Caenorhabditis elegans: one gene and its partner. The protein of the gene in region 2 interacts with the protein of the main gene of each other region in a pairwise test. Each region holds a gene or a part of one and is shown on either strand. Other genes may lie near its edges. The genes, in order: uev-2 and C02B8.6.

The links.
Region 1: the proteins of C02B8.6 (region 2) and uev-2 interact in a two-hybrid assay, tested with the Caenorhabditis elegans proteins (one study listed by BioGRID).

The regions. Positions count from the first base shown.
Region 1 is NC_003281.10:5,579,926-5,586,289, reverse strand, and holds uev-2 (UBC core domain-containing protein), read right to left. Parts: upstream 3,166-6,364; 5' UTR 3,150-3,165; coding exon 3,003-3,149; intron 2,896-3,002; coding exon 2,776-2,895; intron 2,735-2,775; coding exon 2,647-2,734; intron 2,555-2,646; coding exon 2,404-2,554; intron 2,264-2,403; coding exon 2,077-2,263; 3' UTR 1,768-2,076; downstream 1-1,767. Other genes in the region: F56D2.3 (DUF148 domain-containing protein), read right to left, coding at 1-129, 177-381, 527-651, 1,106-1,228; F56D2.8 (DUF4440 domain-containing protein), read left to right, coding at 3,879-4,056, 4,102-4,277, 4,355-4,402; F56D2.5 (RBR-type E3 ubiquitin transferase), read left to right, coding at 5,222-5,344, 5,711-5,989, 6,357-6,364.
Region 2 is NC_003284.9:8,133,381-8,139,812, forward strand, and holds the start of C02B8.6 (putative RING finger protein C02B8.6), read right to left. Parts: upstream 2,947-6,432; 5' UTR 2,940-2,946; coding exon 2,735-2,939; intron 2,501-2,734; coding exon 2,432-2,500; intron 2,387-2,431; coding exon 2,312-2,386; intron 1,569-2,311; coding exon 1,335-1,568; intron 992-1,334; coding exon 531-991; 3' UTR 1-530. Other genes in the region: C02B8.7 (uncharacterized protein), read right to left, coding at 4,341-4,499; C02B8.3 (DUF5354 domain-containing protein), read left to right, coding at 6,202-6,432.

The DNA of each region.
Region 1 (6,364 bases), on a different chromosome or scaffold from region 2:
GTTTTCCATAATTTTCTTGGCCTCTTTCTCAAGCTTCTTCGCCTGTTTGCTAAGCTCTGGAACTGGAGAGGAGACGGTCATCTTGTTGTTTTTCATGATCAGTCTTTTGTGAATATCAGCGAATTTGGACTGAAAAATGTTTGTGTTTGTTGAGAAAAAATTATTTATCTTCTTACCCTTATCTCATCACTCTCATTTGCTAGAACTCTTCGAATATGCATTTGCTTCTGCTCCATATTCATTCTCTGCTCTCCAATAATTTTCTTGATCCGATCCATGGTTTCGCGTTGGTTTTGACGCCAAAATCCCGGTTTGGCCCGTTCCATAGCTCGCTCGCGGTCAGTTTTCTCCATGGGCTCACCGAAGTTGGCTTCTCCAATTCTGAAGGAAAATCAAGATTATTTGTTGCTAAGGTACCGTCTAAAGTGAGTTTTGAATAGATTATCGTTGTAATCTGGCGCTACGGTCAGTTTTTTACTAAGTGGCCGCGAGGAGATAAAACTTGGCCACCTATTCCGGAACTTACCTTGCTCTCATATAACCAAATGGCCCAAAGTCAAATGGATGCTCCCGATGAAAATATCCTTGTGGTGGATTCATGTTGAAAGATGGTCGCCGACGTGGCTCTTGTGTTGGGATTGTTGGAAAACCCTGGAAAATGAATGTTCAGAATTTTCAATAAGGCTTGGTAGGCAGACTCGTTTTCATGAAAGCTTGCCTATTATTTTTTGGTTTTTTTTCTTGCTGGACTCTGGTGTTTGGTGTTGTTTTCATGAAATCTTCAGTCCTTGGTACCTACGTGCCTGTCTACACGCCTACTTTCAATGTGCACAATCTTGATACAAGCGTAGGTGAATGAAGGCAAGCAAGCAGGCGTTTGTGTTCTGATCTAGTTTCAATTAGAAAAATCTACACAACATACCGAAATGGTTGTGACCTTGTAATAATTAACCTTGGGATTTTCGCTACGTGGCCGCGGAAAGCAAAAAACTCGGCCACCGATTTTTTGGCTGACTTGTTGCAAAACAACTCAAAAACTATATTTTAGATGTGAAATCTCTGCCGAAACTGCCACTTAAAAATCCTACAAGCCAAGAAAACTCACATAATAAGCATTAACATAGTCTGGCATGGCAGCTCCCTCATTAGCATCTCCGTATAAAGTTCTCTTGTAGTAAAAGCCGTTGACAACCGCCGAAAATAGAGAAATCAAAAGAATACGTTTCATTTCCAACAACCGACTAGTACAAAAAAAGGAGTCAACTGTGCACGGTCGAGTGGAGTGGACAATGGTCAGCGAGGGGGATCGGGAGGCTCCGAGAGCACACTGTTTGGGAGTAAATAGAGACCTTTGACGGGAGGCGAGGAGGGGCGGTACCACACGATCTAGGCGCGCTCTCGGTGAACCGATAAACCTATACCGTTTCCGGCTTTTTACGTTTAAAACTTTTGGGTTAGAGCTCTCTCCGCGAGGCGATGAGCACACCATGAACAGTGCAGATATCTGACAAGGTGTGCGGGAGAAGTAAATATAGACATTGGGGATGAGGTAATGACGTGCAATCACGAGTATCACCTCTTTTTGAAGGGCATTGCGGTTCATTGCAACGTGGCCGAGAACAAGAAATCGGTGGCCGAGTTTTTTAAATCCTTAGTAGACTGGAGCTTAGTCAAGCATACCTCCCTGCCTACAAATGTTGACTACGTAGATTTATTCTTGTTCTGCCATTTCATTAAGAGATAATGGGAGGACACCCCGACTCAACGAGTTTGGAATAGCTTTATTTGGTACAATAATCACTTTTTTCGTAAAAAGACATGGTTTTGGAAAGAGAATGAAAAATTGGTGTGATCGGGAAAGTAGGGAAAATGGGAAAAATTATCACATAGGTCAGGTAAGTTTGCTGCAAAAAAGGGGCATTGGGATTTAAATAAATGTGTATAGAAAATTGGCACCTTTTTGGAGAAAAATCTGAAAAATTCCATAGAGTGTCGGCAAGAAAGTTTTGAGAAAGTGGAAAAGGTCTTCAACAGAAAACGTTGGCCAATACCAAAAATATAAAAATTTGTGTAATATTAGTTTTCGATGTCAATTGGTAGATCGTCATCATCCTCGTCCGATTCCATGGCACCATTTTGCACTGCCAACTTAGCCTTTGCTGTCTCCCTCTGAATTCCGGAATTCTCGGATACTTCCATGTATCCCACGGCGTTCGGGTTAACTGTCCAAGCATAAGCTCGAGCTTTAGCCTCGTAATTTTCACTGGAACAAGATAATTTTAAAAGTTAAGTGTTCTCTTTTCTCTGTTCAACGACGCTTAGCTCCAAATCGAAGTGGCCTAGAAGAATAGGTGGCCGAGTTTGTTCACATTTGCAGCTGTGCGCCGTTAAAATATATCTAACCGCTGATTCTCATATTCCATCCAGGCTTCAATATTTGCAGCTTGAGTAAGATCGGGCGTTGCAAGTAGATTGCTGATTTCCCTCAGAAGTTTCTTGAGTGAAGTTTCAGAAGACCAGTGCTCTTGTTCCAGCATTTTAAGATAAATTGATCCTGTAAAGATTTTTGTAATAATGCGTTTCTTTTTGCTACCGTTTTCTGTATTTCACACTCAAACATATTTTTTCGAAACAGTTCTAACCAACCTCTGAGGTCCACGTTCGGATGATGAAGCGGCGTTTTGAATTCACAAATTGGCGGAATTATAGGCCATTTGTGAAAGTTCACGGAAACCTGGAGATAATATACTTTTGCGAACTAAAAAGTAATTAAACCTCATATTCCCCTCCCTCCCAGGGGCTTCCTCTCGGTCCAGGTACTGTACATATCCAAGAACACCATATGTCTGCGCCCTCAAAACTAATTGGCTTTGCCGTATACCCTTGCGGTGTTCTCTGAAAAAAAGTTATTTCGACACATGCCACGCCCACTTTTGAAGTAGGCATAAATCAGGCCTAGGTCCCAGGTAGGCAGGCGAGTTAAACTTTGTGTGAAAGCTTACCTCATCCCACTTGGCTTTCTCCTCCTTCACAGTGTTGATTTCATTGGTGAATTCGCGTGAATTGGTTTCAACGTCGAATAATAGCGCATCGGCAGTTTCGCGAAAATATGAGAGATCAACATATTGTCTGTTGCTACGTCTTCGCATGTTTCTGAAAGCTTAAGCTCTAATCTGGAAAGTCAAAGTAATCCAATTCGTGACGAAGCTTCCGGAGCCGCGTTAACTGAACCTAAGCTGGATCTTATTTGAAAAAGCTACAGTGAATATATTCTTAAAGCGCACAAAACGTTGCATATTATCCCACGAGGCCTAAGGCAACCAGAAGCTTCAAACAAAAAGTGAAGAAGAGAGTATGAATACGTGGGATAATATCACAAGTTGAAGAAGAGGCAGGTACGAGAGAAAAAGAGCTACATAATCACACAGAAGCGGATGCCGTCTCTCTATCATTAGTACGTTGTCCTAGAGATGGCCTCTTTCTCTCTCGCGCCCTCTGTTTTAGAATTGAGCATGTAACAAAAACTACACGTGCTCTCAGATTATGTATGTGTGTGTGTGTGTGTGAGCTACTTGATTCCGACGGGTTGGAGGATTAAAGGTATATCTGATGTTGGGCACACTTTTAAACGTGGAATGACGCAACTCCTCTGCCACACACTGCACACGCTTTTTCATTCAGCTAAAATTTATCATGACGAGACCGGATACCGTACGCGGCAGAACCCATGTGGTGTCTTCAAAATGCCCAAAATGATCATGATCATCAATACGACACCAAACATCAACCTCCGCATTGATTGACAATTTTCACATTCTAATTGAATTAGCATTTCGAACTATAAAAATGCTCAGTTCGCCATGTAGCCAAACCAAAATATGCGTCTTCCAATTTTTCTTCTAGCTCTTTCAAGTGCTTCTATTGTCTTTTCATTGGATCCAGTCCCCGAAGAATATGCCAACGTACCGAAGGAGTTCTTCGAAAAGTTCCAGGCAGCTATCAAATCAGGGGACCCAGTTGCAGTAGTGGATCTTTTTGCTCCGGATGATATGCTTCGTAAGTACGATATCAGAAACAATTTTGAAATTTAGTTATTTTCAGCTGTCAGTGGCATGATTGAAGCGGCACAGGGAATCATCAAATCTTTTGAATCTTATCCGACCGGAATAATTGAACGAGTTCGCTACGAGTATGGAGTCATTCAGATTAATGTCAGATATTACCCCAACACGCCCCTTTTGTCCAAAAAAACGACTATTTTCAAGATAAAATACGAGGTAATCAGGGAGTTGGACTAAAATTTTATCCAGCCGCAATCACCAGAATAGATTTGTAGATAAATTTTAATTTGCAGAACAAATGGAAAGGCTGGACAATGGTGCACTTCAGTGATTGGATGTAGTTTCATATTCGAATATCGGGACTTGTATGACCTAAATAAATGTTTTAAATATATTTAAAAATGTTTCGAAAACTTTTCAGAAATCAAATTGGCTGTTACATTTTACCTATCCACCAAAAATTGACAGAATGATACACGGCCTATTGAAGAAATGGTAACAAATCCGTACAAAGTTTTCAGATATTCACAAAACGCAGTAAACGAGAAGAGTCGACTTTCTGGAAGTTTTCCCTTTTCACATGATTTTAATATTCTTTCATTTTTGAACATTGTGTTTTTCTATTCTGTTGGAATAGCTTTAGTTTTTTATGAATCGATAGATTTTATCAATTCCTGAAGAATAAGGTACATGGATAGATACATTTTTCAAAAATTTTAGTGAAAGGTTTGGCAAATTGAAAAATTGAACTTTTGGGGGCAATTTCAAGCATTGCTGCAAATTTGAACTCTTCGATTGTTTAAATACAAACAATTGAAACGCAATTAAAGTACACATCACGTAGAGAAAAACACAATTTAAGTTGAACAATTTCTCACTGATAATACTCTAAATTTAAAGTTTCAAATTGTATTTCTCATCGTTTCCACAACAGGTTATCTATCACATTGCGCAATTTTACTCATTACAATTTTGCAATATTTCGCAATATTTTAGTAATTAATTTTGATTTTTGTTCCGCAAACTTTCCTCATATATTGTTTGAACATTTTTGACTAATAATGTAAAATATTTTCTATAAATTCCTGAACATTCATTTCTAAATTACCTAAACTCCGTCTATTGAATCTCTGCGTCTCTTGTCTAAAAATCGATAAAAAATGACTGATCGTGACCTGCAAATATATGAATTGGAAGCATTGGAAAGTGTTCTAAGAGAGAAGAAACTGGCGAAATCCAGTGATTGGAGTGATAAGAATGCTGAAATCCAGGGAATTATTGAGGTAAAGATTTTGGTTTTTTGAGAGAAGCTGGGGTATTTTAACTTTTAAAAAAGTAATTTAATGTCCACTAAATAACAACAAAAAATTATTTATCTGAAACTACCCTTACTATATTTTAGCTACACTTTCTACGTAATTATGTAAGTTATCAAAAATATTTAAGGTAACAAAGTATAGAAAATTTCAATAGCCTCCATAATCATTAGCCCGAAATTTTGGCCACGGTTGACTATTTTCCTGTACGAGATAAACTAATATGGCCATATATGGAGTAAAGTATTTTTTAGAAGAGTCACTAAGTTACGGTTGAAAGTTGGTTAGTTGGTTTTTTTAAATGAGTTTTAGAATAGTCAAGTGCAATTTCAGGTCGGATTTGACAACTTATACGATCCAACAGTCACAATTGAAGGAACATCTGACTCCGGCGATCAATTTCATCTTCCTCTTGACATTCTTCCTCCAATTCGACTAAAATTCCATCTTCCAAATGATTATCCCACCGTATCATCACCAAAACTTGAACTGGAAAGTTATTGGATGAATCAGGAACAAATGACATCTTGTGAAACCGAGTTGGCAAAGATTTGCGAGGAAAACCAGATGATGGAGGTGCTTTTTATGTGCTACCAGACAATAATTGATTTGGTGAGTAGCGAGAATCAAATAAAAAGCACCATTATGAGCCGACATCTCAGACACGTAAGGTGTCCTCTGCTAAATTTAACTGCAGCCGACATTTTGCTGGTTCGTTATTGAATGACATAGATGGGCTACCCGCGATATGTCGTCTGCAAAGCGTTCTGAGATGTAACGGTCTACACAGATAGTAGAAATTACATATTCATTAGAAGTAGGATGTTGATTAGAAGACCGACATCTCACGGGTATGCCTTTGAGCGAATTTAAATCTAGATATCTCATGCAGAATTTAACTTTTTTAATTCTGCGGAATGTCGACTGCTACGTTCTTTGATTCAAGCAGCTGGCGTCTTTTTCAACTATCAAATTTCAGATGGCCCA
Region 2 (6,432 bases):
AGAACTAGATGTTGGTAAACCAGCATTAAAAACGTGTTGTGAGGAAGATGGGGGATCCGTAAAAAACCAGAAAAAGTTCAGATTATGGATAATAAATGTTTGAATGCAAGAGGAAAATACAGAAATATATGAATGAAGTAAGGTAGGTAACACTGTGGTCATGGTATGTTAATCATGCAAAAAAACAAAGCATTTTTACAAAGCATTAGACGAAGTAATGAAAAAGAAAAATGTTAAAAAAAAAACAATTAATATGGCCGAGGTGTTAAAGCTTGGCTGCATATTGATTGAGACATAGATTGTGAAATTTGATTGCACGGGATTGAGGCACTTTTTAATAAAAAGTAATAATGTGACAAGCAGAAATTACACGCAAAATGATAAGGAGTAAAGTTTTAGGTTTTTGACAAATTTTGGGAAGTCTAAAACTGAAACCAACAATTGTATTGAAAGAAATAGGTTTTGTCAATGGCGACGCAATCAGAAGAAAAAGAACAATGACAGTTGCAAAACAGTTAAAGGCGTTACTGTTAATCCACAGTCCAAACATTTGGAACATGGCACCCTGCAATTCCTTTGACATTGTGCATGTCGAACTCCGAAGATGTCACGCGCTTTATTTGCCTCCAAGCATCAAGATTGCCCTTTTGCCACTGTCGCATTGCCACGAAATCAAGTATGTACGGCTTTCCGAACAGGTACATTTCCATATTCGGCTTGTTGGCCAGAAACTCGTCTTCGATATCCTTCTCGCAACGTTGATCGAAACGCCACCAACCATCTCCTCTGCTGCTGTAAAGCCAAAAGAATTTGACTCGAGCAACATTGAAATTCGCCTGAACGTTGTATTGGGCTGCAGTAGGAACATCACTGCCTGCAGTGGGAGTTTGCATTCCCTGCTGTCCACCTACACTATTTTGCTCGTCGTCTCTGATATCCATTTTTATGTTTGTTGTTGGAAGTGGCAAGCCCATTTGCCCTGGAGGGAAAACTGTAAAATTAAATTTATATAAGCAACTGGAAGTTAAATATATATTATTCTTTTGGCGCCAGAAAAAATGCTCAGTGATGTAGTGTCACAGAGGCACCGTTAACTAAACCGATCGCGGTATATTTCGGAGGGATATTTGGTAAAATTGTCTCTTAAAAAAAACGAAAAACGGAAACCCTCAAGGTTGCAAATTGCGCTTCTATTAGTCGACATTACAATGTTTACGGAACAATCTACCTGGCACGAGGTTAGCTCAAACACAGTGAATAAAAAATGTTTACTAGATTTATATGACTATCGTCTAAATATTAAATGAAACAACTTTTTACAAAATTAAATTTACCGTTATATTGTGTATTGCCCAGAAATTGATTATTTCCAGCGAATACAGGGTTGGCGGCTTGTTGAACGTCTCCCCAATTTCTTGCAGCATTATTCCAGAATGGTGGAAACTGATTTCCCCAATACCCAAGTGTATAAGGAAAATCAGAATGCGCCTGGAACTGTGGCCATCCAAACTGATTTACCATTCCTTGACTAGTGGTCGGCACTTGATAGTTGCCTTGGGCATTATGAACTAAAACATTGTTTTAAACTTGAGGTAATATCATTGTGCAGTCTGTTGTCAAAACAAACTGGTTTAATGAAAAACTCTGCATAATATTATGCTGTCTTGCTCTAATTGCAAAGCGTGAGGTTTTCAAAGAGCTTAGCAAAAAAAATTTTAGCAAGGAAATTGTTGAAAGCTGACCTACTGAGTACAAAATATCCAGGTACCGTATTTCCTCTATTAGTAAGGCATGCGTAGCTAATTTTCGAACACCTATTTAGATGCAAAACTAAGAGTTATCGCTCAAGTTCTTACTCAAGGTTTCCACTAAGTTATGGCACAATGTCATCAGTTTCAATAGCAGAAACTGGACCAAAAGGACAAATCTCACGACTAATACACAAAAATTATCCGACTTGTATACATATCTTTCCAATTTTGACTTGTTACACCGAGTCTTTAAGAGGTTTCCTAATTTGTAGAACAACTTTGTAATGCAAACTATAGTGGAAAAATAAATTGGTGCACAACTATTAAAAGTGCCAAACTAATAGAGGCGCCTTACTTATAGAGGAAATACGGTAGTTTAAATCAATACTATAACTTTGTACGAAAATATATCAGTATCTTGAAGCTTCCTAGTGCTAAGCAGCTGGAACATTCTAAGGGATCAGCTAGAAGCTTCTGCATTTGGCTTCAGGAAACAGGTGTCACCACTTCTTTGTAAAACAACTTAGCCATGGAAATTTTCAAGTTTAAAAAAATATTACAGTTTCCATTGTTGTTCATATGAGGTGCTGCAGCCACGAGTTCTCTGTTTCCGTTTTGGTTTGCGTTCATTGCCGCTGGAAATTGTTATTTTAGTAATGCGCTTGACTAAAAAAAGGCACCTCTTAACAAGTTGACATCAGGCTTCACGTCGATTTCCTCGTCCTGAACCTCTTCTTCGTCGTCGTCAACTGAAACCTTGTTTTATTCTAGAAGAAAGACTAATAAAAGGTACATATAACTTTTGTTAGTTTTTTGGTTTAGCTTCTGGATGTCTAGGAAATTAGTATTCAGAAAAAAATTGAATGTTTTTTTTTCCTATTTTACACTCTTGTACTTTCCATTTCTTAATGAGAAAGTGTTTCTGATTATCTGAATTATTTTACAGATGAATCTTTTCATATCATATCCAAACAAAATCTTACCATCTCTTGGTGCATCGCCTTTCAAGCAAACTTGAGCGCTCAAATTTAGAATTATGGAGCTATCAAATGGTCTTCGGCAGACGGCACAGTTGAGCATATCATTTTGAATAGAGCCTTTGATGCAAATGTAGCAAAACTCGTGATTGCAATCAAGCCGCACTGGCCTGTTCGGCGTGTTATGGCAGATTGTGCAAATGTCGGTCATTATACACCTGAAATCGATTATATTTCACTGCATTTATAAAAAGTGAGAAAAGGGTTTAAAAGTAACACTTAGCAAAAAAAAAAGTTTCGCAATAAAAGGCTTAGACAATCATTATCAAAGTTTTATCAGTAGCAATTGCATGCAATTGTATTTTTTCAATGTGTACTGTACGAATATTTTTTTTTTTAAACTGATAAACATATTGTGTTAAATCACAATTCATTTCTTCTAAAATTTGCTTAGAAATTGTTGATAAAATGATATTGAAAACATGCAAATGTGCTAATGTCTGCAATGTGTCGTCAAATACATTGTGCACGTACTATCGATATGCAACAAGAGTGACCCCGAAGAGACAAATGCATATTCACTCTGTTGAGCGAGAGAGAAGAGGAGACACAGGAATCATTGCTGAGTGATGGAAAGCAAATAGGAATGTGGAGTCTAAAGACATCGAACGTATGTACAGAGTGGTAGGGTGTCAGACAAATTTTTCACACTTGATAGTCAGGAATCGATACAAATTCACTTTCTAGAAAGTTGTGACGTCACCCTCATTTTATAAAGAACTTTGAAGACTTCTGCGCAGTTTTATGCTAACGATTAAATCTGAAAATTTCCAGAAGTCTAATTTCAAAATGTTGATGTATCGAAAATAACTTGTACTTTTCTTGATATCTTGTTCCGCACTAATGCTTCGATTATTTTGGTGTTTTTAAATAAGAAAAAAGCAATGCAACGTCACCGTGATGCTCTCGTTGCTTGACGACCAAGTCAAACAATAGTTTTCGTAGGCTTCTATGAAGCGAATCTGTTCGAGCTAATCAAATCTGATTTTGTGCACTTTGGAATGACGATATTGTAGAATTACCGAGTTCAGCGCCGTAAGAATCTATTTAACCTTTTAAATTGAACTGAAACTCTTCTATCTCCAAGCAGCTTCTTTGAATCTGAAAATTTCAGAATAAAAACTGCGGTAACGGTTCACATTTTTATTCAGATTTTTTTATAGCCTTATTGAAACAAATTTTGTTAAAATTGTAAAAATATTGAAGGAAACATAGTATTAATTGAACGACAATAAAGAAAAATTGAGAGACTGAAGATGTTCGGAACATTCTGGAAGTACATCAAAAGAAAGGGAATTGGACGACACGGACTAGGGGGATCGGAGAACCGAAAACACGTGTTAGAAACCAACAGATGGAATTGAGGTCATATTAAAATCCAGGAAATCCGTCAACGTCTTTGGTAAATTGCAACCGTCTCTTTTGCACAAACATGCATGCTCACTTGAGATGGATGATTAGCTTTGTGGAACTGGAAGGCTTGAAATGAGTGTCTCATAGAAACACTTTTAAAATATGTTGATGTTGTCGGCGCTGGCTATCTGAACTTCGTTTACACGGTACTATAGCTTTCTGGGGATGGCACGTAGCTACTAACTTGGTACACGAGGTCACTCATTGTATAGCCCTTGGAAAGGTCGTCGGAGTCAATGGGCTCCCAGCAACGTATGAGCTTGGTGAGTTGATCTTGGGCATCTTGGACAGCGTTCATGGCGGTTGGACGGGAACCGAAGGCAGATGCCAAGACGAGAGAAGATATTAGGATTTTTCTCAAAATCTAAGAAGGGGTCACTCGCTGTATAGCCCTTGGAAAGGTTGTCGGAGTCAATAATCGGCATTTATCTGCAGATTCTTGCACAAGTTCAGCCCTAATAAATTTATTGAATGGAACATTATCAAGGCTTCCTATGCCTGCTTTTCAAAACACACGCTGGTCAAATGCAGATTCGTTATTTCATGACTTTCGAAATGATTAATTTTGTTTTGTGAGCACCATGCTTATTAATTTAGAAATTCAGATAAAACAGTAATATGCTTTGACGTTTCTTCATATTTTTTAAATCACGTAAAAATAGGCTACTAAATTGCAGTATTTAATTTTCTCTCAAAACGAAAAAAAGCCACTTATGAGGTTACTTAGAAAAGCTTCAGAAACATTAATAACTAAGCTTATCAACGCATGTTATTTCTATTCTCAGTCTTTCAATTGCAAAAGGTTTTTAGGGATTAATTAGGTAAAGTTTAAAAAATCTAATGAAAAGAAGATTTGATTTTTTGAATTTCGGTTAACATTTCTCAGATTTTCGTTAGATAAAAAAGGGGCACATTAAGATTTTTTCATTGAAGCTAAATTATCACAAATGGGAAGTTTGTTTGAAACTATTAACATTGTGCGAAATTGATAAAATATATGAGTGTGTACATATTTTATGAAACGCGTTAATTAACAAAATATGTGCATCAATAATTTTTGAAATGAATGTAAGATTGAGTTTGTCTCAATATAATGCACCACAACACTTCATGCTTATTGTGTAGTTCATCGTAAGGTCTCGTACACAACTCGTATCACTTAAAATGGCAAAAATGGGTACTGCAAAAAAGGACACTGTTTTCTGGGAGAAAATTAATCATAGTTTTTAAAAAGATTCAGAATGTTTCTCGTTTAACCAACATAACACATATCATTCATCCTATACTACACCACTTTGGAAAATTCGTTTTGAAAATAATGAGTTTCTAGATGTTAGTACAATTCAAATGTTCCCCCGAAATTGGATTCTTTCCTTTAACTATCAAACTAACTCTATAAATTTTGTATCAAATAGTTTCTTAAACTTAATATAGTGACGTATTAGCCCAAAAACATCTGAGCTCATCCAAAGCTGTCTCGACTTCTGTTCAGCCAAAAACTAATGCATTAGAAATTGGCTTCGACTGTGTACACATGAACGCTTGATTATATATTAGATATGTAACATTTTTTTTGGATACTGACATAACAAGTGATAATTTTCTCAAATTTTTTCCAGATTCTGTTGCGTGTCAGTCACGGAGTGGCAACGTCAGAGCCAGGTACACACTGTAACCGGTTTTGTGCCATGTACACTTCGAAAGTGGGCGGGATGTTTCATTTCATATGATGCTCATCCCTGCAATCCTCCTCGTCACTCAATCTGCACTTTTGTTTCTCTTATATCTTATACGTCTCTTTTCCAAAGACTCTGTAAGCCCCGCCTTATGGAATTCTTGCTCCGCCCTTTCAGCTTTCATATTCAAACAGCGCTGAGAACAGTATTCGCCAAAAGCTGAATTCTTTTACAGCTTAACTCTTTCGTGCTTCTTCGATGTTGAGAAAAATCCTTATATCTTCTCTCGTCTTGGCATCTGCCTTCGGTTCCCGTTCAACCGCCATGAACGCTGTCCAAGATGCCCAAGATCAACTCACCAAGCTCATCCGTTGCTGGGAGCCCATTGACTCCGACGACCTTTCCAAAGGTCATACAATGAGTGACCCCGTGTACCAACTATGTAGCTACATGCCATCCCCAAAAGATTACAACAAGTTCCACGTGAATGGAGTTCAAATGGACAGCGACGACTACACCACTATTTTGACAATGTTTGCCAACCAACTTCCAGGA